Linked DNA regions of Drosophila melanogaster. The protein of the gene in region 1 interacts with the protein of each later gene in a pairwise test. Each region holds a gene or a part of one and is shown in the gene's direction. Other genes may lie near its edges.

The links.
Region 2: the proteins of CG13982 (region 1) and Dpit47 interact in a two-hybrid assay, tested with the Drosophila melanogaster proteins (one large-scale study listed by BioGRID).
Region 3: the proteins of CG13982 (region 1) and CG13287 interact in a two-hybrid assay, tested with the Drosophila melanogaster proteins (one large-scale study listed by BioGRID).
Region 4: the proteins of CG13982 (region 1) and betaTub85D interact in a two-hybrid assay, tested with the Drosophila melanogaster proteins (one large-scale study listed by BioGRID).

Annotation. Positions count from the first base shown.
Region 1 is NT_033779.5:6,407,343-6,415,835, forward strand, and holds CG13982 (uncharacterized protein), read left to right. Parts: upstream 1-4,972; 5' UTR 4,973-5,361; coding exon 5,362-5,516; intron 5,517-5,838; coding exon 5,839-6,024; intron 6,025-6,080; coding exon 6,081-6,729; 3' UTR 6,730-7,993; downstream 7,994-8,493. Other genes in the region: DIP-epsilon (Dpr-interacting protein epsilon), read right to left, coding at 903-1,041; Tig (tiggrin), read right to left, coding at 8,094-8,156, 8,215-8,493.
Region 2 is NT_033778.4:6,658,924-6,665,700, reverse strand, and holds Dpit47 (DNA polymerase interacting tpr containing protein of 47kD), read left to right. Parts: upstream 1-3,582; 5' UTR 3,583-3,772; coding exon 3,773-4,402; intron 4,403-4,459; coding exon 4,460-5,020; 3' UTR 5,021-5,056; downstream 5,057-6,777. Other genes in the region: Adf1 (Adh transcription factor 1), read right to left, coding at 2,944-3,132, 3,253-3,253; sced (scrambled), read right to left, coding at 5,721-6,777. UniProt on the Drosophila melanogaster protein: May act as a co-chaperone for HSP83.
Region 3 is NT_037436.4:5,879,399-5,886,379, forward strand, and holds CG13287 (uncharacterized protein), read left to right. Parts: upstream 1-2,905; 5' UTR 2,906-3,008; coding exon 3,009-4,394; coding exon of another isoform or gene 4,395-4,421; 3' UTR 4,422-4,692; downstream 4,693-6,981.
Region 4 is NT_033777.3:9,406,913-9,414,483, reverse strand, and holds betaTub85D (beta-Tubulin at 85D), read left to right. Parts: upstream 1-4,201; 5' UTR 4,202-4,431; coding exon 4,432-4,824; intron 4,825-4,883; coding exon 4,884-5,831; 3' UTR 5,832-6,101; downstream 6,102-7,571. Other genes in the region: alpha-Man-IIa (alpha-Mannosidase class II a), read right to left, coding at 1-761, 1,094-1,623, 1,677-1,790; Task7 (TWIK-related acid-sensitive K[+] channel 7), read left to right, coding at 2,467-2,596, 2,660-2,815, 2,882-2,943, 2,998-3,398, 3,454-3,727; CG44261 (uncharacterized protein), read left to right, coding at 6,339-6,635; CG8135 (uncharacterized protein), read right to left, coding at 6,775-7,362, 7,423-7,571. UniProt on the Drosophila melanogaster protein: Tubulin is the major constituent of microtubules, a cylinder consisting of laterally associated linear protofilaments composed of alpha- and beta-tubulin heterodimers.

The DNA of each region.
Region 1 (8,493 bases):
TTATTTAAGTGCCCTCATAATTGTTAACAACAATAACAACAAATATAATAAAATCCAAACAAAAGGCAGCTGCAAGTGAAATGAGCAATTATTAAGCCATGAAAATTTTAAGCCAACAACAACACGCGTCATAATAAAGTTATTATTCCAATGAAAGTCCCACCAGCGGGTGGTTCTGGGGTATTTAAAGTGGGAAAGGAAGTATGCTACGTAAAATACTGAGCAATGAAAATATTAATAACGTTAATGAAAATTACATTTGCAGGCCGCAAACTTGAGGAGCAGATTGTGCAGATTTATTCGACTATTTGTTCTTTTACATTTTTTCGCGCTCCTTTTGAGAGCATTTCGAATCAAACGAGGCGTTTTATGTTTAATGCATTTTCATTCTTAAATGATATGTTTACATGATATGGTCGAGTTCAGTCAAATCACACAACCCCCAGCAATAATATTATACACTAAAAGTAATAAATAGGTGGACCATGCTATTTACCATAAAACCCTTATTATTATAAGTAAATAGCGCAGAATATCTGATTATGATAAAAATCGAATTGTTTACATCATTTAAAATTACAATCATCATTATTTACCATTAATTGAATAAAGCTTAGTGCACCAATATTTTACTTTTCCGGATAAATTACAAATTGAAAAGAGAATGATGATTGCACATATTAAGTCCATTTATTTGATTAATACAAATACTTATTATTATCGTTCCCTGCATTTAAAAACCCCAAAAAAGAGCAATCTGCAGCAAACATTTTAACTATATTGTTTGCTATAGAATGAAGTATAATTTTAAACAGAATTTTTTGGTTTTCCTTTCGTGATACAATAAGTATAATTATAATAAAGGACATAACATTAATTTCCTAAATATTATTTTTACTCACCATTATTTAGGGTTGAGCCACCGACGTTACCGGCGTTGCCTTCACTTCCAGTATCTGTACTTAGTGCCACAGAGGAGGCAATCAGGCAACCAAGGCCCACATACAGAAACGAAGAAATCGCTTCGAGGTGGTATGCCATTTTGCTGTAAGTTTGATGCCCCTTTTTTTTACCGTTGTTTAGCTTTTCAATTAAGAAAACTTAATTATTTATTGCGTACAAATATTGTGCAGCATTACAGTATATTCCGGCTCATGTTGTGTTTGCTTTTGGAATCGATCAACGTTTAATTGCGATTGGCTTTTATGCACGCTACCCCTGAAATATGAGGAGAAATTATAGGTTGCCATTATTGATGAAAATATTAATAAAAAAAAGAAATTATACATGGCTTCATGCTTTTAGGCTTAAGTGTACATTTAATTTGTCATTGCTCAATTTTCCATTTACCGCAAGGAATGAGACCTGTTTTCGTGTTACACGGCTATCCCATACCCTTTACACGGCTTATTGATTACAACCGTACTTAATCATATCTTATAAACTTTAATCTAAGCTTTCAAATTTATAATAGTTGAAGAGATTTTGTATATCATACATACGGACAGACGAGCGGACACACCATTTTTTATGCTTAAGATTTTTATGAGCCATTTTAACCAGACCCACACCTGGCTTGCATCTTTTTCACGGATTAAGGAGTTTTCAATAAAGAGGATCAGCATTAGGAAGATATCAGAGCAGTGACGAACCCTAAGTCTCCGAACGACCTCAAATCCGTTCAAATGCCAGGGACAACGTTATCGTCACCATCAGAATTATCAGCTTCCTTTTCGTGGTTGTTTTGCTGCATGCATGCATAGAAGAATTTTTTCCTTGTTTTTAATTCCTGCTCGTGTCATAAGCGAAAAGCAATTTGCTCTGTCAGCTGTTGTTTTACACTCCGGCTACGGCAGTCAAGTAAACCCATGGAGGTCCTTCCAGTCTCGTCAATTTCTTCATTCTATTGCAATATGAATGCATTTCAATTAGAATGCCTCCTTGGGGACAGCTGTTGTGGATTTTCCATTAAGTAAGGGTTATTGAAACCGAATTGCAAACTTAATTGATTTCTAAGCCGGCCGACTTAACATTCATTTTGGTTGTGATATCTAAACAAAGATTTTGAACGTTATGCTGAGGAAGATTTTAGTGAACCATTGACATCTTATAAGATTCAATTTTGTTTCTTATAAAATGTGTTTTTTAGATTTAAGCGTTAATGACCCAAAGTTCACCTGATTGATAAGCAACCAACTGATGGTCAAAAATATATGTATTATTGTATGAATGACATAAATACGTGATAGTTTGGTACACCAAAATGTATTGTCTGGTGTATTTTCACGCGACGACGATTGTTGCATCCATAGAACTAACCGCGAAATGTAAATGGACCGTGAATTCGTAATGCATTTAAATCATTGTAAACAGCAATGTTTGTGCCCCGCAGACAGAAAGGATATTTCCCACATCTTCGAAGTGATGTAGCCGCATGATGAAAAGGAGCCAGCGGTGAATGCTCCGCCGGTCTGACTTCTGCTCTGTCTTTCCGTCTCCTAGGGAGCATTTACTCGCTTTTGCATAATAAATCAATTTACATTTCCTTTCACACGCAAAAATGAATAACGAATAATAGCAACAAGCCCGTGGCGCAGAAATCTTCTATCGTATTCTTCGGGTAAAAGTACGTATAGCATGAGAAAGGAGTGCTTCCTTTCTGCACTATAATCACACCGAACCGAATCAATCAATCAAAATGAAATTAATTATTTAATTATAATTATTATTTCTTTTCTTTTCCACAGCACAGGGAATTCAACCAAGTGCTTGTGTCACCCAAAGGATTCGATCTTTAGAGCTAACTTTTTAATGACGATTGTGTTTATTTATTACTGAAGTGAACATAAAACTTCAATTTCACACTAACCGCAAACAGCGCATCGTAAATTCGTATTACCTCTTAAAACGATTTCATTCCACGGTATATTAATCTTTTCGATCGGACAATCATTGCAGATTTCTGCACGTTTGTTTACATATATAGTAGCCGGCTTTTGCACTTCGGTGCACATTGCCACCACGTAGACGGCCGTCAGGAAGATATATAAATATCTGAGTCAGACTGTGCCGCGGGAACTGGAAACGCACAATTTAAGTTGGAAATAAAGACAGAGGATGGTTTAATTTAAACAAGTAGATATTGGTCTTTACGAGGATGCCATTGGCCATGTAAATAATAATAATAATTTGCTACGCATTTAGTACTTAGTTTCATAAATGAAACAAAAAGAAAATTAAATTTGAAGTTAGATTTGCATACAATTCGCATTATTTTGAAAGCCGGCTAATGAAACATTCAAAGTGCAATCAATTGCCTGCACAGCTTCTCCCAGCAGATGTAAACCAATTCGGAAGGATCCTTTGTAAAAGATGCAGCTCCCTAAACAGGCCATCCTGCGAACTCACTATTCAATGATGCCCCATCTGCAACTTCGTTCTCCTCCATCCGATGTCGCCCTGCTTCCAGAAACTAATAACTCACCGTGGCAATGTCTGGCTGCTGGATGGGGCGTCAGATGTCGGCAGGAATCAGCAAATCAATTTATAAATAGAGCAGCGAGACAACATAACAACGGATTTTCATGTTTCCCTCTGCCGTTCTCCGTTTTTGCAACATAACTAAATTAGGGGACCACGCGGCAGACACACAGACGCCGTCACAAAGCCAGCAGCTCCTCCGGTGGGCAGCGGAGGTGCATAAATGGCATGGGATATCGAATAAAAGCACTCACAGCAGTTGATTTACAACAACCATTCGCCGCCACTAATGCCAATCGAAAATACTATTTTAAACTATTTGGCCAGTGCAAATAAGAAAGACCACGTCCACGCACGTCTAACGAAACCGATTCTGGTTCTGATACCGTTACCGATTCGGGTTCGGGATTCAAAAGCGATTGCGACTGCGACTGCGAATACTGATGCGGATGCGGTACCGCAGACTAACGACAACCGAACGAAACGACAGCCGATTTCACACTGGCAGCAGCATCCCGTCGTGCGATTCACTTCGGCTGCGGCATGTTAAAAAGATAAACAAATGTTGCGGTTGGCCGTGATTTATGTTAGCTTACATATGTTTATAGCCCTGGCTGCAGAGCCAAACAGCACTTTCTGCTACTAACAGCCCCGAAAACAGCGAACAATCAATCCAACGATCCGCCGAGTGTTTTAATGCACCACTCCACTATCCGTTCCGTCAGCTAATGCGGCGGGTTAAATTTTATGTTCATCATGTGAGAGAAAAAATGTGAGAAAAGCCAAAGGTCGCAGAATTTCCAGTATTAGTATGTGCATATGTGAGCTAAATAAAGAAACGTATTATTTCTTTCTGAACATAATAGAGCAGGGCGTATCACTTGTGTAAGCATTTTTGAGTTATCCCTCAAAACTCCCTCATCTGTCTTACAGTGAAAACATGTTTTTCATCTTCGCTAATCATTGAACATTTGTTACTTGGTCTTTGAGCGGGCATAATGGAATAATAGCTTAGCACTTTAACACATTTACAGCTAGGGACTGCAAACGCATTTCCAAGTTCTGTGACCATAAATGTCAGAGTTCAAAAGGCAAGACTTCTTTAGCTTGCTGTTAACATCGCTATCTTAAGAAGAGGATGCTGCAATACAAACTTCATTAAAGAGAAATTTATAAAAGAACTTGGTTTCTTTGCTCTACATTTCCCTTTATAACCCCTAACAAAGCTCACACAATTTGGTCCTACAAGCCTTAACATTTCCCATTTTACACCCCAAGCAAAGCTTCATCATGTCGGTCCTGCAATACCCTAACATTTCCCGTTATTACCCCTGATAAAGCTACTGCTAGTCGAAAGCGCTCCGTGCCGTGAATTTATTAACTTTGAGCGTCCGTCTAAGCTTTAAGTAGTGACGAAAGCTCCTGTCACAAGACGCTTTGCTCTCCTGTTGACTTTAGCCACTTGACAGCGCAAAACGCGAAAGCCACAACACTCAGTCGAAACAGCTGACTCTCAAAAGGTGGCCACCACCCACCACCCAACTGCTGCAGGGCCAAACAGAAACTCCGTCACTAGGCTTACGGAGCATTTAGCCAAGAAAGCGTGGGGGCGTCACCGTCACTCACTGACGTCGACGCACTCGGCGCATGAAAAACAGTTACGCTCTGTGCCGCGGAGTGTGTGGAGTTGCGTTGAAAGGGGCTCCGGAGTCCAAAAGGGTAATCGGAAAGCCCACGGGAAGGGGCCATCACCGCGGAGCCTTGACCCGAGCGTAATGAAATGTGGCGCCTGGCTGGCGAAAAAGTGACGTGAAATGCCAAGTGCAGCCGCATCGAAGCCAGCAAGGATCTTGTAGCAGCGACAGGAGCAGCCCCTTCTCCATGGGTTCATGCCTTGGCAGCTGTGCCACAGCTGCCGCCGCACCAGCCCACTCCGCCTGCACCTCAACGTCCGACTCCACCACCCACTCGACTTCCTCGACGTCGTCTTCACTGACAACTCCCCCCACGTCCTGGGTGGCCAACAGCTGGCTCTGGTGAGTGGGGCCAATTAGTTGAAGCTCAACTCCGCTGACTTTCGTTCGCGCGCAAATCCGCTGACCAATCAATAGTGGCTAAGCACGGGGTGGAATTGGCTAGTTGGGGGTCAACAGCCTAAAACTATGCAACGGCCGCTGGTTGCCACAAAACAATGTGCCACAGGCGGGCTTCCCGCCCAAGTGGGTGCTTACTGCAACCAAATACGTAAACAGTAAATACTAGTTATATGTGATATTCTTTAAGAGTTAACAAAAGCTTTTACTTTATAATAATTATTAAAAACATCTTTAATAAAAAGTGGTATCTTTCATCTTCTAGGCGAAAGAACAGATCTGCAGGAAGACAAGATCCAGAGGCAGATCTCTTATCGAGGACCACCAGGCAGCGCTGCCAACGGAACGGATTCATCTACCGCATCCTGCGGCTCAAGAAAAGGCAGCAGTGTCCCAGCTTCCTGGACAAGTACTGGGAGCAGCAGCCCAGCTACGCCAAGCTGCCGACCACGTATGTTAAGTCTCCTAAGGTGCCTCCTAGAAATAAAACCAACTTAATCCTTGCAGCGCCATGGCGGACATTCAAATGCAGAACCTGGACGCCGGCAAGTTGCTCAACGCCCAGACCACGCCCAGTCGGGAGACGGAGATGGGACTTGGAGCCTACCAGCGCATGGCCAACTCGCGGGCCAGCTCCTCCTTGGATCTCGAGTGGGAACACGAGTACTCACAGCTGCGGCAGTATCAGTACCAGTGCCAGCAGGTGCCCAAGGAGCTGCCACCAACGCCACCAAAGCCGCGCTACGCATCCTTAGACCAGCTGGCGGCAGCCAATGCGATGGCCACCAGCCAAGGACGACACATGGCGCGCCAAGCCAGACTGAGTTGCCAGCGCCACGGAGGTTCGCTCACGCGGAACTCGTGCTGTTCGTCTACGCAAAACTCCTGGTCGCACATATCCACGCCAGAGTCGCTGGAATGGGACGTGGACGAGGAGCGAGAGCAGCAGCGTCAGCTTCGTCTGGAGGATGACAATCTGGATGATAGAACGCTCAAGTTGCTGCATCAGATCGAGCAATTGAAGCACCATGTACTGCAGGAGACTGGCGATGGACTCAGCATGGAATCAGCTGCGGTCGAGGAGCTCACCGAGGGCCTTCAGTTCCGGGCAACGCACTTCGCTGGCGACTCCCAGCTGGAGGCCCATGTAAGTTGATTGGAATCACTTTAAGACGACCTATCATGCACATAGTATTAGGTTAAGAGGTGTACATAGCAGACTTAATGAGCAGTTGTAGTTTCCTGTAAAGAGCACGTCTTTGAAAGACACATTGAAATCCGTTTCCGTTTTAATTGGCCAGGAATACTGGCCATCTGAGTCTTATTAATTTTGGCTGACCAGTTTTCCTATCTTAAAGACTTTATCTGTAAACTAATGTTCCAGTCTATTCTATGCACTTATGCTTATTAATCAAGGGATCAAAGTTTAAATCATTAAAAAACACGGTCTGAAGTAAATATATTTAGTTTGAATTGTCATTTTCTATTTTTTAATTTTGCGCCAATTTCTATTATTTTAAATATTGATTTGTTTAGGTTTGTAAAAATGTCGTATAAAATATGCAATTAATCGAAGTTTTTAGTTAATGAAGAAAGGACTTGCAATAGATAAGCATAAGAACAAAAGAGATATATCTTATTTCATTACATATTGCACCTGGTATAAGACACATAGGTTAATAAGTTATGAAATTTAAGTGCCTAGCCTAAGTCCGATCCGAGTTCAAAAGTTTAAGTACTCCAATAATATCCTAAACTCAAAATGATTCCTACAAAAAAAAAACAGATATATCAAGCAAACAGTTTGCATTATTAGCCACACAGATAACTCAATTCTATACCTATTTATATATATGTGAACTTTAAGGGCTTGAAAATGATTTTTATTGCAAAGATTTATACCAAAACATTTAGTTTTAGTGAAAAATGCAATATATTTACTTTCTGCTCCAAAATTGTGCTTTTTGGATTAAATCCGAATCAAAAATGTAAATGCGTTCGATATAGTAAGAGCTTATCAGAGCACTATATAAGTGACTTCGTTAAATTTTTAAAAATAGTCTATAGAATCGCACCTACTTGAAAATTATAGTACTTAAGCTACTTTAAACTTTATAGACCAGATGCCCTTAGCCTCCTTTTTAATTGGTAAATAACACAAAAACCACTCTATCTTTTTATCAGTGTAATATCTGCTATATTGTGTTAAGTTTTTGTTGATAGTTTCTTGGAAAACGTAGAGAAAAATATTTTGTAAATTTTTAAGTTTAACTGATACCAAAGATTTATTTTGAAACTTGAATGTTACTCTCCATAGACTACATACTAGTATTTAAGTACGTTCACTATTTTCGCTGCACAGTAAATGTCATTTATTTGTGTCTTAAACTAAGAGGATTAAAGAAAGATTTGTAGAAAATATTAAGATTTGTATTAGTTGAGAGTTTCCTCTCGGGTAGTAACTTTTTAGTTCTGACTAACAACAGTCCGTTGATGAATGGCAGTTAATTGGTTTGACCTCTAGCCGAGCTTCTCCTTTAGCTTTTCCCAGAACGACGGCTCTGAAGTGGCTTCCACCTCCACCTGTTGGAAGAGTACCATCATTGAGTTTCCAATGTCAAATCCCCTCGTGAATGCTTACCTTCGTTGCTTGCTGCAGAGGTTGACTCCTGCTGTTGCTGCTGCTGCTGTGACCCTGCGTCTGGTCGAAGTGGAGGTCATCCTCGACCTGAACCTGCTGCTGCTGGCCGAGATCCTCTGCCTGCTGGTTCCAGTCCGTGTCCTCGACTTGCGTCTGCTGTCCAAGGTCCTCTAGCTTTTCGTTCCATCCCAGCTCCTCAATTTGCTGCTGCTGGCCGAGATCCACTTCCTGTTGCAATGGCTCGTCCCCAGAAGCCCGGTTCCACTTTCCTAAGCTTGC
Region 2 (6,777 bases), on another chromosome or scaffold:
TTTAATTATTTTATTAAAATTTTAAAAGTTTTGGTATGTAGTATGTTCCCCATTGGCTTTAGCTACAAGTTGAAGCCTTTTTTTCATGGATTGGACAAGTTTTTGCAGGTCATATTCAAACGGGATCTTTTCACACTCTTCGACTATTACAGTCATAAGCTGTTGTTGTGTTTTAGGTCCCTTTTTGCCACCTTCTTCTTTAAGTAGGTCCACAAATTTTCAATGGGGTTCAGATCAGGACTCTGAGGGGGCGTATAGATCACTTTACCACAGTTATTAAGGCGCCAGGTGCGTACATTGCACTCTTTATGTTTCTGATCATGTCCTGGTAAAACTTAAAATTTGGCTTGTTGTTGCTAACCAGACTAATTTTTTCTACACTGGCCTTCAAATTTGTTTTCTAACATTTCTAGATATTGCACGGCATTTATTGTGCTCTCAATTAAGGCTAGTTTTCCCACTCCACGGCTGGTGATACAGCCCCACACCATCAGTGACATTTTTCCAAATTTTATCGTTGGAATGATATTTTGTTTTTCTAGCGCACTCAACGGTTTGCGCCATACTCTGCTTGGCCCGTCGTTATAAAAGAGCATCATTTTTGTTTCGTCACAAAATATGACGTCATCCCAGTACTCTTCCGCATGATCCATCATTCACAGGGAATGAATGACGCTTTTCAATATTGATCTCTGATAGCAAAGGCTTTTTTCTTGCAACTCTTGAAGAGTACCTATGGCGTAGGATGACTTGGCGCACAGTTTCGTGTGACACAGTTAGGTGACATTCTTCCCTGATATCCTGAGCAAGTGATCTGACCGAGATTCAGGGGTTCGCAATCACTTTTCGCATGATAAGGCGGTCTACTCGCTTGTTAATTTTGGTTTTCCGCCCACCACCACTCTTAGGTTCAAGCCTGCCCTCTTTTTCCGAGCCTTTTAAAACATTGTAGACGGTCTTACGGGATACAGGAAACATTTATACTAATTCTGGAAAAGATTTTCCCAACTGGTGGTTATAGTTTATTAATTGGGTAACTTCAAAAGTTAATCTCTTTCCAGGCATTTTATTAAATTTAATAATTCGCTTTAAGCACGTTTGATCAGCAAAATTTCACAAGCAAAGTCAACAAATTTCAATAGAAGCGTTGTAAAAAGCAATGCAAAGCCAAAAATAACGGAAAAATCGAGTTCGTTCTAAGAAAAAGAACAAAACAAAGTAGGAAAACAAAATGTGTAAAGAGTTTCTTGACAGTCTCAAAAGTGTGTAAACTTGGAATTTGTTGTTTATTTTCTTGTATATTTAATATTTTTAATTTGTTTTTTGATTTATAAGTAAAATAAATATTGTTTAATTATATTTTATAAAAAAAATTGCGTTTAATTAAGCAAAAAACCCTTTATTTTTAGCTTTAAAGTCAAAAATTCAACTTATTTCACAGTGTGTAAACAGTTTCTTGACAAACTGTATGTATTTTATTTTATAGGGTAACCCGTCAAATGCTTGATAAAGTATACCTCTATAAATGAAAAGAAAAAAGAAACCAGATTCGTAAGTAAATGAAATGTTTCTGAAAATATTACAAATCTAATATAAACTAAAATCTTGTTTCTGTTACATTGAATAAATGCTTTTTTCTCGAAGACCTGTTCATAACAACCGGTGCAAGCACACCTGCGCAGCTGTGCGTGGCGGTTCTCCACAGAAGGTTCTTCAAGAAGCTCTGGACTAGTGTAGTCCGGAACTGTGCAGAAACTAGAACTATGCCATCAAACCCACCCAAAGAAGCATCAAATCGGGAACCAAAACAAACCGTTGGCAGCAGCAGCGTCGGTGGCAGAAGGAAGGCAGCGGACAGCAGCTTCCCAGCGCCAGCAGAGACGTTGACGTGACGGTGGCTGTGACGTCGCCGACTCCCGCTGCCCGCTGCCAGGAGACGGAAACCTGTGGCATTGCTGCTGGCTCCACTTGACTGCAACTCCAGCTTTCCAGCCACCTACTTGCATAATCGAAAGCGGATGAGGTGCAGCGATTTGGCCGAAAATTTAAGGTTCGATCAACGGCCGTCGAGGGGGTGGGGTGAACGGTACATTTTGTTGGTATACTCATGAAAACGAAACGAAAGCTGCCTGGTCGGTCTCCGGTATGTACAGTGGGACTCTGAAGTGTTGACACAGCTGTTCTAATTTGTGCTTATCTATTGACCTTTCCAAAGCCCTATATTTTAATTTTCCGAATTCTCATCCTATTCAATATTAAAATAAAATCCATAGTTTCGTCTAAAGAACTGAGCAACTTATTTATTTTACTAATAAATACGTATTTATAACCCGTGCCAAACTGTTTTCTGCCACTGTATGCTGTATGCATGTATACGTGTGTGAGCAGCGCACATCGCAGTCGCAGTGTACGAAAATAAACGCTGGCGCAAGCAGAATGGCTGCGGAGCGAGCGAGACAACTACTGCGACGCGACGGCAAAGTACAGCAACTTCAAAAATATCGACTGAGCACAGTCTGCACACCGACAGAGCAAGCAGGGCCGCAGTCCGAGCGCCCGAAAGGGGCGCTCATTTTAGAGCAGATCTTTACAGATAGAAATTAACCTAGGTTTAATTACTAATGAACTGTATTCTAAATGCAACCATATAAATGCAGTAAAAAAAGTTCGCATAAAATGCAATTTATGAGCGGTGCAGCCCGCGCCCACCCTCACACGTATAGATCCCCCCCTGCCATTTCCTAACCATCAGCCAGCTACTGCGCCGCGTCGCCGTTCACTTTTGCGTCGTTTTCTGTCGTCGTCGTCGACTGACTTGTCCCGCCCCTTCGACCTGCGCCCGCACAGAATTAATCAATTGGCTGGGGCTGGTTGGGGCACGGACCGAAGACGGCTGACAGAAAGCAGAAAACCCGTAGCCAAAACCAGCCGAATTTCACTTACCAGGCACACCGAGCGTTTCGGCGATTTGTTTCCAGGTCTGGGCCTTGCGCACAAAGTGCTTGTAATTGTAGTGCGACCTGTCGTATATCACTGGGTTCAGCTTGACAGCCTCGATGAGATTGAGATCAAACTGCTGCTCAAGATTGGCATCCAGCTTGTCCATCTCAATGGCCGCCGTGAGGGTATGCACTGAGGGGACAAGACGGGGAAACAAGAGTTACAAATTTAGCGGGGACGAGACGGACGTGGACTGGGTCGGATCCCAGTTCCAAACTGGGCACACGGGCTCCCGCAGCCGACGACACTCACTTTGCTTCTTACGTTTGCTAATTGTTGTTAAGTATTTGGCGCGAACGCACGCTCTGTTTGTTTTTATTTTGATTGGTTTCTTCTACGAGGAAGGAACGTCGACGTTTTAATTTTATTTCTCAGTCGCGTCTCTGCCAACGGTAACGGTACGTCCCAGCTCAGTCGCGTCTCTGCCAATTAGGGGTGGGAAAACGCCGATGAAGGGGTCATCAGCGCATCGATAATTTTAAAACTCTCATACAATAACAATATGTTATGGCGACTATCGATGTTTCTGATATATCACAACAGCTGCGTAAAGCGTCAAAAGGCTTAAAGTTTTACCATGTTAAGATTTAAGATGTTAAGATCATAATTCGTTCCGAGTTTAGCTCGTTTAAAGAAGGAAGCGTACGACTATCGATAGACGGAGGGCCACCCTTATTTTAGAGGCGCCACCTTTAGGAAATGTGCGGCACCTTTGGCCAGTTGGTATATTGTAACGGTTCGTCTGCGGTCACACTGTTTCTGATTAGACCAAATGAAACAAATGGCGGCACAAAAAGCCTGGACGGATGAGGAGCGTCTGGAGCTGGCGGCCCAGCTGGACGCGGAACTGGATGCGTTTATCGATGGCCTGGAGAAGAAACGTTACGAGGAGGGCTGGCCGGAGGACCGCTGGCAGGAGGAGATGGACAAGCACCCGTTCTTCATGAAACGTGCTCCTCAGCCAGGGGATGACGTGCATCCGATGTTCGAGGGTCTGCAGAAGCTCAAGTACGATCCGGAGGAGAACACGCGCGACGAGCTGGCGCTCAACTACAAGGAGGATGGCAACTTTTACATGAAGCACAAGAAGTTCCGCATGGCAATCTACAGCTTTACCGAGGGCATCAAGACCAAGACGGACAATCCCGACGTGCTAGCCGTTCTCTACAACAACCGCTCGGCGGCTCACTTCTTCATCAAGAACTACAGATCCTCGCTGAGCGACGCCCAGCGAGCTCTGTTCTACAAGCCAGACTACACAAAGGCCCGCTGGCGGTCGGCACAGTGTGCGTACGAGCTGGAGAGGTTCGATCTGTGCACCCAGATGTGCGAGGAGCTGCTCGAGGTGGACGTCGACAACGAGGTGGCCATCGCGCTGCTGCACAAGAACAAGATGAAGAAGGTTAGAATACGTGATCCAACTGGATAGGAACCCACATTAAACAAGTTATTTCCGTAGCTCGAGATAGAACGCAATCAGCGCAAGGAAGCTGCCGAGGCAAAGCGACGGCTTACACGCTTCCACAGACTCCGCGACGCCATCGAGCAGCGCGCCATTAAGTTTGACGATCAAAAAGTTGGCAAAAAGGACGTCCTCAGTGAGGAGCTCCTTTATCCAAAGTTTCTGCCTTTGGAGGACCATCCGGTGCACCTAGACGAGGACGGCAGCACTCTGATCTGGCCGGCTGCGTTCTCCTACCCCGAGTTCCTGTACAGCGACTTTTATCAGCAGCTGCCGGAGACCACCACCATGCGGGATTGCCTGGCGACGCTGCTCACCGAAAAGCTGCCATACGACAAGGCACACAACTACCGCCTGGGTAACGTGCACGTTTACTACGAGAACCGCAAGGTGGGCTGTGTCCACAAGGTGGACGAGGAGAAGCAGCTGGCCGAGATAATCGCCGAAAAGGGGTTTTTCGTTTCCGGTGGCGCTCTGCTCTTCTATGTGGTGCACAAGGATTCGCGAGTGGAACAGGAGTTTATAAACGAACGGCGACGACCCATGGTTTACAGTTAAGACAGTGAGCAAATAAAGTGATTCCTTCTTGAAAACAAACAAACACCTTTTCATTTGCTTGTAAAGTTTACTTCATTTTTGTGGCATATTTTATTTGTAAGCTTATGGTTTAGTCACGGTACAGTTCAGCATTGGTTATGCTATCTTGAAGCATTTTATTGTAAGTTTAACTAATCTCTGATATGTTATGCGAAGCCGAAAAGCGTAGTTCAGGCTACGCCGCCAAAAAATATCTGATGCGGCGTAAGCCCATTTTGGTAGACGATTAATCATCTGTAGAATTGAAAATTGTTTAGCTAAATTTAGTTTTTCTTTAACAACAAGGCGCCTAAATGAGTCAACAATGTGGTTTTTGGTTTAATACGTATAAAAGCGTTTTTGTAAATTTTCATAATTGAGCATATTCTTAGACATTCATCGTTGGTTCACAACAGTAGTAATACTAGGGGACCCCCCAAGTGGATCCGGATATGGTTCGTTAAAATACATTTGACAAAGCAGGATGACCATACATATAAGGCTTAATACTAAGTGCATCGTGGGAAAGCGTATTATATACTCGGATAACATAATAATCAACTTGTCGAACTAATCAGATCACATTCACAAGAAACTACAACATAAATAGCGAAATGGTTAAAAAGCAGTTTGTGTCCACAGCGAAGTGTTAAACATGGTTACGGAAAACGGAGAATCCATTTTAGTGCTGCGGCGAAGGTGGATTTCTCTGGAGGACACTATTGAGTCTCATCTTCAGCGGCGAAAAGTCAATTTTCTTGAAGCGTGGTAGGGAGGCGAACTTTTTCATGGTGCCTCCCTCGGGCTGCAACTCATTGGACGTGGCCACAGACTGAATCATGGGTTCCAGACGCGCTGGTGCGGGCAACGCCTTGCTGGGCGAATGCCCGATTTTGGCCAGCGTCGCATACTTTTGCAAAAGACGACTAGCCTTTTCCGCCGCTTGAAAGCGATCCTCGTACTCCTTCTCCAGATTTGGCTGTACAAAGCATTCGTTCGCTACGGGAAGAGCAGATGCTTTCGCCTTGCAGGAATCCTCAGATGCTTGGCTATCATCAAACTTAAAGTCAATGTTCTTCAAAACGGTCAAGTGCAGCAGTTCGTCATCCACGCCTTCATTGTTATTGTTATTGTTGCTTTGGTGGGTATTGTTGCTATTGGTGCTGTTCGGACGCTTTACCGGATGGGTGACTGCATAAACACTGTCAGAAATTTTGTGGGCGGCAGTCTTTTTGGTTGAGCTTTTAGTCTTGGCTGATACTGATGCTGATGAGATGGTGGCCGCCTTGTGACGCTGCTCAATGATTTGCTGGGGCGAGGAAATGTAGAGGTTCTCCTTTCGTTCACGTCGCAACTTGGAACTGACTAAGTGCCTAAAACTAGGTCCATGTTCGGTGGGACTGCGTCGCTTTGACTTGAGTGTGTCGCAGCTGTTCGGATAATAGGAGGGTATCTTGTCGTCCACACTGATAATCGACTTTCTTGGTGTCTGGTAGTAGTTTTCCTCCTCTGGCTTCTGTTGCAAAGTTTTGTCCTTGGGCGTTCCCTTTTGCGGCAAGGCCGGCGCCAGGGGAGATTCGGTGGGTGTGCTTGTGCTCAGTCCAAAGCCGACAGGCTGCGCCTCCAGCTCCTGTGCGGCCTTCACAGCCAAAAGGTTCTCGTAGAGGTGTTCCGCAAATCCAGCTGCAGCCGCTCCGACGGTACTGTTCAGAGAGGTTCCATGCATGACTTCGTATATG
Region 3 (6,981 bases), on another chromosome or scaffold:
AAGCTTTAAAGATTGTGATAAAACTTATCGCATATCAAATATTAAAACCCGTTTATGTGATACCCGATGCTATCTGTTTAACCTTATGAAATATGTGAATACCATTTGAAAATGTTATAAAACACAATTAAAGGTATTAATAATATTATGTATATCTTTTTGTTTGAACTTGAAATTTAACATGCAGAAGTTCGACAATTTTACTTTTCTGTGCACTTAGTTCGCTTAGATCTCCAGGCAGCAAGAAGCTGTTTCCTCCAGGATTTCCACACAAAACACAAAGATTACGGGAGACAGGCAGCACATTAACATCAACCGAGGCCACAATCTCCACGGAAAAGGTGTCTGCTGTCTCCGGAATAAACGTAGCCAGCTCTACGCTAAACTTGAAGCAATTAGCATTTACATTTTGCTATCTTACCAAGGATAATTGAAACCCGGCGAGGATGCTATGCCCGGGCATAAGGAGCACGTAGCTGTGTCTAAACTTGAGTCGAGAGATTGCCATCTTAGTTTTTAATTTGCTTCCTGGGACATTTCCTCGCTTTTGCTCGCATTTCCTTCGGTCTCGACTTAATCACACAAAGGCAATTTCACGCCTTTTTGCGCTTTGTCTCGGCCTGACAACGGGGCAATCACTTTGTCACTTGGCAGTTTGATGTATCGACAGGCGCTAAACCAAACAACCAACCCACCTAAAGTTCCATCCCCTGGCTCAGTGACAAGACAAAATCATCTAGTTAGCAATAGAGCGAGATCAGCAGGGGTAGATAAGCCTTTGGGTTTAGTGGAAATTTTGTGCTCGATTTGTATATCGGAGATTTTCATTAGTTTGCGCTGAAAATATTTACTGCAATGAACTGAGAATGTGTTCGGGATTTTCACTTGACTTCAATTGTGCACACGTGTCACATATGTGAGAGTCCAATTGAAATGGGGGTAATTTCTGGTGAGATGTGACAATAAGTAATATATTGAGGAAATTGGTCCGATGTAAGATAAGATAACTGATCAGATATAGTTTAACTTACTCAGACTCCAGCATTTAATAGGCTTGGGTAACCCAATTAATTCTTATATATTTTAAAATGATTTTCCATAAGCTTTAAGCATCAACTGCACCAAACATTTGAATATCCCATTTTATTTATCAATTTAAAATCACATCAGCCCATGGGTTGAGCTTGCATTGTTCGATCGGCAATTAATTAAATACAAGCTAAACAATATTTTTAATGAAATGGCCATGTTGGAAGGCAATCATGTGTTTAATATTAATTTCGTCGACAGCCAACATGGCGACCATGCGAATTATAGGCTCCAGCACACAGATACTCAAATGCACCCATACACACACACACGCACACTCGCACACTCGGCTGTTGGCTATAAATATTAATTAAAAATGCAACTCATATGGCAAGTGGAACAATTAGCACCTGAAAATATGCAAACATTAAATTGCCGCTGCTGCAGCCACATGGCTGCAAGCAAAAAGTGCAACAAAAGAGTCGAAAATTTAAATAAAATATACATACACCCCATAGCTGCAAACCCTGTTCACGACTGACCATAACAGACACATATTTTGTCCTGGCAATGGCCACATCCTTGCATCCGGTCTGCCAGGATCTAGGGTCTAGCCGGAAAAAAGGGAAATAAACGGGGGATCAGAACGAGACGGAAAACGAACGGAAGGCATTGCACAATTTGCTATTGTTGCATGTGCATATTTACTGGGCACTTGCCACTTTTTCCACATAGCGCTAACTTAACTGACAAATAAATATTTCGGTATGTTGAAAGATTTCGACGCTCAACAGTCGCCTACAAAACGGGGGAACCCCAATTCCAGAGCGTGTGTGTGTGTGTGTGTGTGTGTAGTTGGCAATATGTAAAAGCTACGCGCAGCATATACTCAAAATCCAAGCCAGCAGCAACAAACGCAACAAATACACCAGCACAAAACATGGCCACATATTCACACAATCTCGCTGGAACTGCTAAAAAATCGACAAAAACAACCTGTTCGGAAACACTTGCAACAAGGACATCACCACCGACAGAGACGGGCATAGAGCCAGACAGAGAGGGCAGGTCCTGCCATATTTTCGGGGTGGGTGTGAGAGGCAAATCGAGAGAGAGAGCAAGCGAGAGAGCGGCCAGGATCAAGCACCGCCTCCTTGCGAAAAGAGATGAGTGCACAGTGGGCGGAACAGGGAAAATAATTTAGTAAAATATAATGTTTTGGTAAAAATCTAAATGGAAACCATGCGAAAAAGTTTTATTTATTGTAAAATATTTGAAAACATTTACCTAATGAAGTTTAAGCGCAACTACTTCAAGATATTCAACTCTTTTGAATGAATAAGAGTAACTTCTCATATAGATGACCCTAGTTTCAAATCCTTCTAAGTTTAATCAATTAAGTTTTTTAAATAATATCACACAACTTTAACAACAACATTGCCCATTGTACCAATGCATCACATACAGCACAACAAGGTTTTCGAACAAGCCAACCTGTCCGTGAATGCTAGCCAACCAGGAGTCGTCCTGGCTAGGACTCGCACAATAAAACCACAGAATATGTTCGCCAACTGGCAAAGCAGATGGAACGCTGGAGAGACGGAGAGTGGGCCAAAGAAAGAGAGAGAAGACCGCTGGAGAAAGAGAGGACAAGCGGGAGTGAAAGAGCAAGAGCAGGAACATAAGGGTGGTGCTCTCTGCAGGACCTGAATCTGAACAGACTCCGAGCAGAATCAGGACAGATGGGCCAAGTGCCGCGAGTGCGGAGAGTTGCTTTTTCCCAATTGAATGGGACAATATGAGAATACGAGAATTCCAACTGGACGCGGTGGTTGTGGCAGCGGGTACTTAAAGAGGAACAGATTGCGGGCGGCCAGCAGTCGAAACTGGAATTTCGAATCGCAAGGAACTGTATAGAACCAAAGACCCAAAGTCCCTACCAGAGCCAAGTGAAAGTCGAAAAGTGTATTGAAGTGAAAATGAATCTGCTCATGGATAGCATGCCGTCGCACGCGAATCCTGGCCAGCGTCGCCCAACGCCGCCTCAGCACGCCGAGCTTAGGATCTCCACATCACCGCAACAGTCACCGCAGCAAAATCAAACCACTAATCACAATAACAACAATGAGACACCCACATCGCCACCGGGTGGAAAGACCACTCTTAAACGCGCCTTCGATGTGGCCTTCCTCATGATGCCCGATGAACGGATTAAGCAAAAGCAGGCCGAGAAGCAGGCTCGCCTTCAAGAGGCACTGCACCATCATCACCACCAACAGCAGCAGCAGCAGATGAGCCACTATCCCACAGATTTGTCTCCTCGAGGAACCTCCTCGCAACCACCTTCGCCGGCGGCACTGGAGTACATTAGTCTGTTGGAGGCACGCCAGCGGTATCCACAGATCAGCATCCGTTCGCCGCGGGTTTATGATGATCCCAGTGTGGTCATACCCCTGGTGGATTCTCCAGAGGCACCATCAACTTCTTCACCACCACCGCCCATGCGCAGCGCTTTTACCAAAGTAGCCTCCTCGTCGCTGTCCACTTCATCATCCTCACCATCGACCACTTCACGTTTGGAATCACCCGTGGATGCGGGAGCTCCGCCCTTGAGTCCCGATCAGCTAAGCTGTCACTCGATAAGTCCACCATTGGTGACACCTCCACCAAGAACCAATAGCGGTGGCCAGAATCCAAATCCCCTGCCAGCAAATCCCATAGTCTACCACAACTTCCGACCGGAGTATCAGTTCAACGGAGCCTTCCAGGCGGTGAATCCCATGCAGGCTCTGCAGGCACAGCAGCGCCTTAAGCAGCAGTTGTTGTACACCCGTCCACCAGGACCTGGAAATCCCAATGGAGGAGGACCTACTATGCAGGCAAACTCACCACCGGGTCCACCGTCGGAGTTCCTGCATGCCTATCCCGGATTTGCTCCGCCACCACATCCATTCGCGGTATCCCAACCTCTCCAGAATCCCGCTGCAGCAGCCATTCTCTCCACGTTGATTCCACCCACATTGGCATCCACTTTTACACTGACCGCTCAGAATGTGTGCGCCAAGTGCAACATAAGTTTCCGGATGACCAGTGATCTGGTGTATCACATGCGATCCCATCACAAAAGCGAAGTGGCCTGCGATCCAAATCGACGGAAGCGGGAGGAGAAACTCCGATGTCCCGTCTGCCAGGAGACTTTCAGGGAGCGACACCATCTAACGCGACACATGACCGCCCACCAGGACAAGGCCAGTGATCACCAGCCGCAGCTGGAGGACTCATCCTCATCTGCCGGTGACAACGAGATCATCAACGTGGTCGGCGGCACACCGCCAGGTCGCCGAATGGGTGGTATGCCCAAATGATCGAAGCATTTCTTCGGATATTTTTAAGTCATCAAGTCAACTAACTCCCCAAAAACAAAACCCGTTGCCCATTTTCGATTGTGATATTAACTTTAGTTTCCCCCACGCTCCGATTTAATTTCCCCTTAGCTTTAAATGTAGTGCAATTTGTATCTTAAATATGTAACTGGATCTCCCTGTATCTCAATTAATTATCTTTCTTATCGAAGGACCCGAAAGGATCTTCAGTTTCATCATTGTAAGATATTATGGCTAAGTTGCAAATTCAATGTGTGGCTGAATGTTTCAATAAAAATCTAATTGTTATGCCAATTCAATAGTAATCACGTTTTATTAATAAAATTTGGGTTAATGGGAAATTTTATCTTGTAGTAGATCTGAAGTATTCTAAAATCATGTTATGAAAATGAGCTTGAGGATTATTGCAATCAAATATTTTTGAAAAGCTTAAACAAAAGCCAATGAGTTGTCTATGCTTTCGAAATAATGTGATTAAGCTTATATAGACGCCACCTTAATAAGAAATCCCAAAAGACAACCGAGCTTAAAATTCAATTAATTTTTGAAAAAAAGAATCCCAAACCAGGGATTCTAGAAGACGAAGATATCTTGATTTGGCAGCATATGGAGTTCTTTGAATTCCTGGCCGGACAACCCATTATTTCGATTGTGAGGTAGACCGAAAACATAGGCTCCCAGGACCAGAAAAAGCACCAGATTTTCGCGGGTACCAAAAGTAACATACGCCATGTTAGTAGAGCGAAGAATATGTTCAACTTATTAGCGCAGTGAGGCAGTGAATTCTGTAGTTGCGATTCAGCAGTATTCATTTTGGCCGCATGCAGCAATTAGATGCGGCCACAAAAACTGCGACGCCGACGCTAATGAGCTGGGAACCGAAATTGTAACAAGATGAAAGGATACTTCGGGGTTGTCCTGCGCCCAAAAAAGGCAGTCATTCGTTTAGACGGCGCGACGAATACGACGAGCTTCCAGGATAACCCATCATCGCGGAGTACTAGTGCAGTTTTTGGCAAAAATGTATTTCGAATTTCAATATTTCCACACTTGCCAACCCTCCGGAATTCAGTTCCCATGAGCCTCGAATTTGTAGCGTAGCAAATTCCTACAAAGCGCAACGAATTCCTTGGGTGGTGGCTGCTCCCCCAGCGATTTCCTTGGCTCGTTGCTGCACTCAAATGAGCCACATCGAATTGCGTTGATTTAGCGTGGCCAAATCCTGTTAGCCCCGTGCCACAGAAGCCAAGCAGCCAGCCAGGATTCTCACAGGACGTCTTCCTGCCTTATCGACTGATGTATCAATTGATGGCATCGCTAAACGGCAAACGCTCTGCTCCGATCCGCTCTGCTCATTGTTCCCATGATGGGATTAGCATTTTATGGCTTTGTGTTCGCTGCTTGCCACTTGATAAAGACATTTTCCAAGCTCCTTTCACATGGCTGGAGTGGGGGGTGGAAAACAATTGCTGGGAAAGTTAATGTAAGCAAATTGGTGTGGAGCATTAAGGTGAAGAGATAAAAGGACTTGGGGTACAAGGTGGTAAGCCTGTAAGGAGCAACACCTAAAATAAAAGCTTATTATCAATAATATTGGAGTAATAACGTGTGCAAATCTATCAACATTTCTAATCTAAGTTCCTAATAATAATGGTAATAATTTTCATGATGCCGCAAGTATTGTCTTGATTTTAACAGACATCTCACTAGCTCAGTTCTTTTTGCCAAAATCCTGGCTGAGGCAAAAAATTTGAAGACAATTCAAGTTTTATTTTACCGCCCATTCCGAGATATCCCGTTTATAGTCACTCGTCTTGATTTATTTCGTGCATTTCCCCAATGAGCAATTCAGGCTTCCTTTAAAAAACAATTACAACTTCCGACGCCCTCGAAAACAAACAAGCGCCACCCATATGAACTTCCATTGCCGTAAAGCGAACACATCGTCAAAATCACATTTCCCCATTTCATTTACCCAAGGAAGCCACCGCATCCAGAATGGCAAGACAGACAGTTCCATGGCAGCCACTCACTCAAAACGACGCCGAGGGCGACCACAGATTCGCCAACACGAAGGCAACTCCATAATAAGCCTCATCATCATCCTGGCTGGGTGCTACATAATAGCAGCCATAATCACATTTCATATTTATCACATTTTTACGCCCACAATGGCAGATCCGGGGGGATCCCATTGCGCAGCGACCTGCGCCGCTTTGTTTGCCTTGCCTAACCTCGCAATTTGACCGTAAATAAATTGCCTGCTCATTTCGGTTACCCCCAAACTAAGCCAACTCATCCAATCCCCTTGACTGAAAATCGTGTTCAAATACGTTTAAACACAATGCAAATACCGTCATAATAGCGGTAGCAAGAAAATCCGACAGCTGGATTGAGCCTGAACCGTGAGCCGTGGGCCTTGGCTCCGCCCCATCGTCAACCCCCCTTTAATGGGCCACCCGTGCGTATGAGTGATTTCTGCTCATCTGCGCTTAAAAGTATGCAAATGCCATTGCTGGAGCAGCCGGGATTGGGAACATCGCCGACGGGGCGCGTGGAGTGGGCGTGT
Region 4 (7,571 bases), on another chromosome or scaffold:
AAAAGTCACCGCTTAGCGTGGGAAACTCGGCTTGTCCCGCCCTTTCCGCCTGGTGCACTGCATCAAAGTATTCCTGCAGTGTGCCGAACTGCGCCTGGACATTGAAGTGGGCCTGGCTGTTGATGTGTTCGAACAGCCTTTCGTAGTTCACGCGCTGCACATCCCACTCGGTGTTCTGCTTGAAGCGGAAGTCGTCACCCAACGGAATCAGCAGCACGTTCGTGCGATACAGCTCGGCCTTCTTCTTCCACTGATCAACCAGCAGATCTGAGCGTGCTGCCACATTTTGATCACTGATTGTACGCGGCGGCACCTTCCATGGACAGCTCAAACCGAAGGAGCCCATTCGTTTGAAATCGAACTGACAGCAAACCTTGGGATCTGGACCACAGGTGTGAGGAATGTCGTACGAGTAGAAGGGCATCATGTGGGTGAAGAGAGCTGTGTCCCCTTTGTTGTCCCAGATCTGGCGCCACAGGAACTCAAGCTGTCGCTGTTGGGCCAGTTCCTTCTTAACCGAATAGTGCGTCCTTTGGATAAGCATATTCTTGAAACCACTCTTCTGCAAAATGTACGGCATAGTGGGACTGTGTCCGAAGGGATCGATGGCCCAGGAAGCAGTGGGTGTGACATTCATGAATTGCTTCAACCATGTTTGCCCTTCGGTCAGCTGCAGCAGTACGTTTCGCCAGTGGGAGTTGGCCTCGTCCGGCATTACCCATCCTCCAGTCACAAATTCCAACTGTCCATTCTTTACAATGCTGTAAATAAGTAAATAATTTATTATTTTTTGTTAAAAACTAAATATTGTAGTTGTTGAGACTGCAAAGCTTATCAATTCCTATTTCTGCTTTGGGTTATAAATATTAGGTAGATAAGTACAAAGCTGTTTCGGAAAACAAGCAGCGTGATCATGCATTTTGTTTATCTAAACGCTTTTGACGCAATAACGAAGTAAAATATTTCACTGCTGCACATAACAACTGTGTAAGGTTTATGGAATGCAATAGCAAAATGGCATTGCACTTTGTTTTGTGGGTTAACTACCGTTATTCATTATTGTATCAATACTATATAGGGAAAGCATGCTTACGACTTCATCTGCAGCTTTTTGTTCTCTCCCAAATCGTGATAGAACCGAGCAAAGTAGGAGATTTCCGCCCAGATGAACTTCATCTCGGGATTGTCGTGCAGATGCCGTAGTGCATTGGACAGGATGTGCTTGGTGTCGTGCTGGTAGTATTCCTCAAACGTCTGAATCCATCCAGGATCGTTGTGCGAGTGCGGCACAACGAAGACTTTTAGTTTGTGATGGGCGTTGTACTTCAGTGGATCGTACTTAATGTTCCAGCCCTGTTTCCACACGCCTCCATCTATGTCCTTGAAGGACATGCGATCGTATAGCTCCAGCATCTGTACATCCACATTGGGCACGTCTTGGACCACATCTTGGCATTGCCCTGGCCTCGGGGAACGAGCCACTTTAAGTGGAGGTCTTATTGGATCGTCGCGATTGGATGTTTCGGCAAGACGCGCCCTGAGATTCCGCATCTCCTCCCCGTGCTCCTGCAAACCATTTTCCAGCTCATGCAGCTTGTTCTCAATGTTCTCATAGTTGGGCTGCTAAAATAAAGAAGTTATTATACATTCGAATTGATTTAGAAGCATTTATTTACCTTTATCTGGGTGGCTGCCGGCGCCGCAAAATTGAGGATTATGTACAGGCTGAGGAAAACCAGCAGGCAGCCGGAGCAAATTACCAAAGCGAACCGCCGACGTATTCGCAACATTTTCCGGTTAATTAAGCATGGAAACGTCGACGTCAGAGACACAGCAGCCAACTGCAACAATCCAATCGGTTGGAACTTGCGTGGTTTTTTTTTAGCATAAACAAATCAGATCTGGCGATATGTTTGCTTTTCCCGAAAATCGATAGGCTGTCAAGTTATCGGCGCTGCTAACTGCAAAATGTTAAATTGTTAAAATGGCTTAGAAAGACAAAAACTTTAAAGGCAATTAAAGAAAATGTAATAAAACTCTTATGTTGTTTGTGTATATTGATCCTTTAAAAAAATTATTATTATCCTTAGTTATCGTGACATTACAGCTTTTTAGCTGTACAGAGTTAACAGATACCGCCAAGTGGCAACGCCATCAAATTCTGTTGCTTCTGTTGTGATAAACTAACGGTAAAATCACAATCCTTTATTGAGATTAACGGTCAAATCAATAGATAAAAGAAAACTTATTACATATTTAAAGAATGATGAAATTTTTAAAATTCATTGTATCATATGTTATTCGGCCACTGTAACCGAAATCAACCATTTTTGGCGGATGCTGTGTGTTTGTTTTGCTGACAACTATCGATTTTGTCAGACGCAGCATCTTTAACTGAACGAAAAAGGCGCGTGGTGCAAAATATATTAATTGATTATAGATCGTAGTGATTATATTTGAGACTATATGATGAAGCGACAGAATGTCCGTACCCTTTCCCTGGTGGTATGCACTTTCACCTATCTTTTAATTGGAGCCGCCGTGTTCGATTCCCTGGAGTCACCAACGGAGGCCAAAAGATGGGAATTCCTACAGAGTGAGAAGCTTGTTGATTTATTAACCTAATTTCTTAGTAATGAATTTATTTAATCAATTGTAGCCGTTAAGAACAACTTTGTTAGAAAGTACAATGTGACTGACGAGGATTTCCGTGTGATGGAAATCGTCATCATTGAAAATAAGCCCCACAAGGCCGGACCTCAGTGGAAATTCGCTGGAGCTTTCTATTTCAGCACGGTTGTACTGGCAATGATAGGTAAATTAATTATCTATTAAATATGATTTATTGAATAGATTATAATTCTGTTGTAACTTTCTTTAGGATATGGTCATTCTACGCCAGTTACAATTCCGGGAAAAGCATTTTGTATGGGCTATGCTATGGTAAGTGAACTTACAATCCCAATTTCCAGTCTTCTAAAGATATTCCCTTATTAGGTGGGCATCCCGCTGGGTCTGGTGATGTTCCAGTCTATCGGAGAACGTCTGAATAAGTTTGCATCCGTGATAATAAGGCGGGCAAAGAGAGCCAGTGGAGCTCGCTGTACGGATGCCACCGAAATGAATCTCATGTTGGCCACCGGAATGCTCTCCTCCATAATAATCACCACTGGAGCAGCAGTCTTTTCCCGATACGAGGGTTGGAGCTACTTCGATAGCTTCTACTATTGTTTTGTCACCTTGACGACAATTGGTTTCGGCGATTATGTGGCATTGCAGAACGACCAAGCTCTAACTAATAAGCCTGGCTATGTGGCGCTGAGCTTGGTCTTCATCCTATTCGGCTTGGCCGTGGTGGCCGCCAGTATCAATCTATTGGTGCTCCGATTCATGACCATGTGAGTCCATGTTCTATTGCAGGAAATATCTTATTTAATGGATTTTTAATCACAGGCAAGCAGAGGATGCCAAGAGAGATGAGCAGGATGCTCAGAACTTGGCTGGAAATGCCCAGCCGGTGACCTTCGATGATGAGTCCACGTACAATATGCACGGCAAGCTGCTGGAGAACAACTACACAACGGAGAACGATGAGACCGCCTCCCTGTGTTCCTGCACCTGCATGGGTGGCACCAGGTGCCTGAATCATGAGCAGTTCGTGGACCCGGACTTTCAGCCTACCGACATTATCGAGAGCACCTTGTGCCTGAAGCGAGCCTCCGTCTGATATCCGTACAGCCAGCTGTGGGACTCCTCATTGTAGGAGCCAGAGCCAATGGATCACCAAATCGTAGTTACAATCCTGTAGAGAACCATCCGCCGCCAAAATTTGGTTGTTAGACAAACCTTCCTCCCTACGTAGATTTTTAAACCAGGATGGGTCATAATACATATAAGTTTGGAGAGCAAGGTTAATAGTCTTTAAAAGGCAGTTTTTGCTTAAGAAATAATCGACCCATCCCATTATACACCCATATAAACATTTACAAAGGAGTAAAATCCAGGACATCCATGTCAATATCAATCGTATCATCTGGTCGGTAGCCTTGGAATCCTCTATTGCTTCCAAGGCACCGCCAAATCCATCCCATCTCGAATTTTAGCCGTATATTCGTTTATCTATGTAAGTACTATTAAAGTTTGTGCTCAAAACGGAGAACTGAGTTTTCTGAAATCGGGGTGTGTGAAATGTGTCGAAGTCGGAAATCGTAGTAGCCTATTTGTGAACATTCGGTGTAGTAATCCAAGCCAGGTTCAGTTCACCTCAGTATCAGCTAGCACGTACACGACTAAAATCTAAACCTGAAAAATTATACGTTTAAATATTCAGTCTTTTGCCGATTTTTGCCCCACTCAGACTGTTTTAAAAGCTCGATTTTTTTTTGTACCATTTTTTCGGTGTGAAAAAGGGGCCCTAACTTTACTATCAAAATGCGTGAAATTGTACACATTCAGGCCGGTCAATGCGGTAACCAGATCGGTGGTAAATTCTGGGAGGTAATCTCGGATGAGCACTGTATAGATGCGACCGGAACGTACTACGGCGATAGTGATCTCCAGCTGGAGCGCATCAATGTATACTACAATGAAGCCACCGGTGCCAAGTATGTGCCACGCGCAATTCTCGTGGACCTGGAGCCCGGCACCATGGATTCGGTTCGTTCTGGCGCCTTTGGCCAGATCTTCCGGCCGGACAATTTTGTGTTTGGCCAATCGGGAGCAGGCAACAACTGGGCCAAGGGTCATTACACCGAGGGTGCTGAACTGGTGGATTCCGTCTTGGATGTGGTGCGAAAGGAGTCCGAGGGATGCGATTGCCTTCAGGTAAGTTTTGGGGGTTTGGGAATTTATCTGAAAAAGTTTACCCTACTTTTCTCCAACAGGGCTTCCAGCTGACCCACTCGCTGGGTGGCGGCACTGGCTCCGGCATGGGAACCCTGCTGATCTCGAAGATCCGCGAGGAGTACCCGGACCGCATCATGAACACCTTCTCGGTGGTGCCCTCGCCCAAGGTGTCCGATACGGTGGTGGAGCCCTACAATGCCACCCTGAGTGTGCATCAGCTGGTGGAGAACACCGATGAGACGTACTGCATCGACAACGAGGCGTTGTATGACATCTGCTTCCGCACACTGAAGCTGACCACGCCCACCTACGGTGACCTGAACCATCTGGTTTCGGCCACCATGTCTGGTGTGACGACCTGCCTGCGCTTCCCTGGCCAGCTGAACGCTGATCTTCGCAAGCTGGCCGTGAACATGGTACCCTTCCCCCGGCTGCACTTCTTCATGCCCGGATTCGCACCGCTCACCTCGCGAGGATCGCAACAATACCGGGCCCTTACCGTTCCGGAGCTGACCCAGCAGATGTTCGATGCCAAGAACATGATGGCTGCGTGCGATCCGCGACATGGTCGCTATCTGACCGTCGCCGCCATCTTCCGTGGCCGCATGTCCATGAAGGAGGTGGACGAGCAGATGCTCAACATTCAGAACAAGAACAGCAGCTTCTTCGTGGAATGGATCCCGAATAACTGCAAGACAGCGGTGTGCGATATTCCGCCCAGAGGTCTCAAGATGTCGGCCACCTTCATTGGCAACTCCACCGCCATTCAGGAGCTATTCAAACGGGTTTCGGAGCAGTTCACCGCCATGTTCCGAAGGAAGGCCTTCTTGCATTGGTACACCGGCGAGGGAATGGACGAAATGGAATTCACAGAGGCCGAGAGCAACATGAACGACTTGGTTTCTGAATATCAGCAGTACCAGGAGGCGACTGCCGATGAGGAGGGCGAATTCGATGAAGACGAAGAGGGTGGCGGCGATGAATAATAGGATTAACTTCCCACTCAAGATCACACATGAACACCAAAACAGGCTAGCAGGGGAACCCATTAGGAAGGCACAACACATTGGATCTTTGGGCCTTAGCATATTGTGCTTCGAGGCCCGTCGGTTGTACATATTTCCTATATGGATTCTTCACTGTTCGATTATTTATCATTCACACACGTACAGAAGAAATATGTCCACCTTTGTTAAGCTCATGTTGCAATTGCTGTGATTTCTGGGTTACGAATAAATGTTGATTTATAAGCAGACAAGATTACCAACAGCATTTTGCATATTTTTATACCGTTCAAAAGGCATTGCATAAACCTAAACATTAATATATAAATATTCTGGATTGAATTGAATTTGAGGCTAAGCGCTCAATATCGAAAATCTATATTTTGTTGGCAATCATTTTTTAGAGTTGCCTTACGAAAGTGACAGCTTTCCTTTCTGACAGGCCGTCATCATTCAAGTCATTCAAGTCATTGAAGTCAAGGCACCAAGATGTATTTTCCGACTACTCCAGTTACCTCTCGCAGTGGCTATCTGCGCGGCCGAAAGCGCATAAATCCGCATCCCATATCGCAACTGCAGAGTGGAAAACCGACGTCGGAAGACGACCAGGATAGCACAAATGTTGATCTAGAAGAATCAATCAGCTCAAGCTACTCATCGGAGACGGACATCTCGATGAACGTGGAGGCGCAGGACACCAGCACGGATAGTGGTCTGGACACTAGCCAGGAGAGCAGCAACGAACCGCGCTACTCCCTTCGAAAGATGGATAAGAATCCTCTTTAGTGGTTTATTCAACTGAATGGTCTACATGGGTGTAAAGGAACAGCAGCAGCAGCAGTGGCATCGGGAAATACTTAAGCGCGAGCGAAATATTGAGATACTCGGTAACGAATTGAAATAAAGAGTTATCCATATCCAAAGTCTAGACATCGTCGAAGAGTCCTCGGGGTGGTGGGCCGACAATTCGACCATCTGTCTCCGCCTCGTAGTCGGGGTCTCGGAATCCCACCTGCACCTGAGTGCTCACACCGAAACGGTCGTTGATCTCCTCCGACAGGGATCGCGGTACGCCCAGTGCAGAGGAAGAAGCCACTGCCGCATAGTCAAAGCTGCCGTCGCCATCGCGCAGCAGCCCGTCGGCGGGCGTGCGACTACTGGTTAGTCCACCGGGTCCACCACTCCGGTATTTGCTCAAGTAATCGCTGCCCAGAACCTGATCGGTTCGGTTGAAGTCACGGCGTCTGGCCATCGCCTCCTCGGCACGCTGGCGGCGGCGCTTTTCCCGCGCTATAAGATCCTTTCCCTCCTGCACCAGTTCGGTAGCAATAGTTTCGTTTTGCAGGAACTGCTGGAAGCCGAGAGCATTCAGTGCCCGACTGCCGAGGCTAAACCAAGTGGCCAGACAGAAGGCCAGCATACACATTGGGAAGTAGATATTGAAGCCGTTCGAGATGATGCCAATAACATCCATGTGGCCCATGATCTGCGTGTACACCGTCTCCATAATGCGCTGAGGAATAGTTTATAAATTTTCAGTAATTCAGTGTTTACGAACATGTTTACTACTCACGTTGGGAATAATGTGTGTGTCCATATGGATGAGACCCAGGAAGTTGAGGCACATGGGTGGTGTCAGACGGCACAGCAGCATGCCGCTGAAGATCAGACTGTGCTCGTTGGTCTGGTGATGCGGTGCCAGGTAGTAGAGATTAAGGAAGC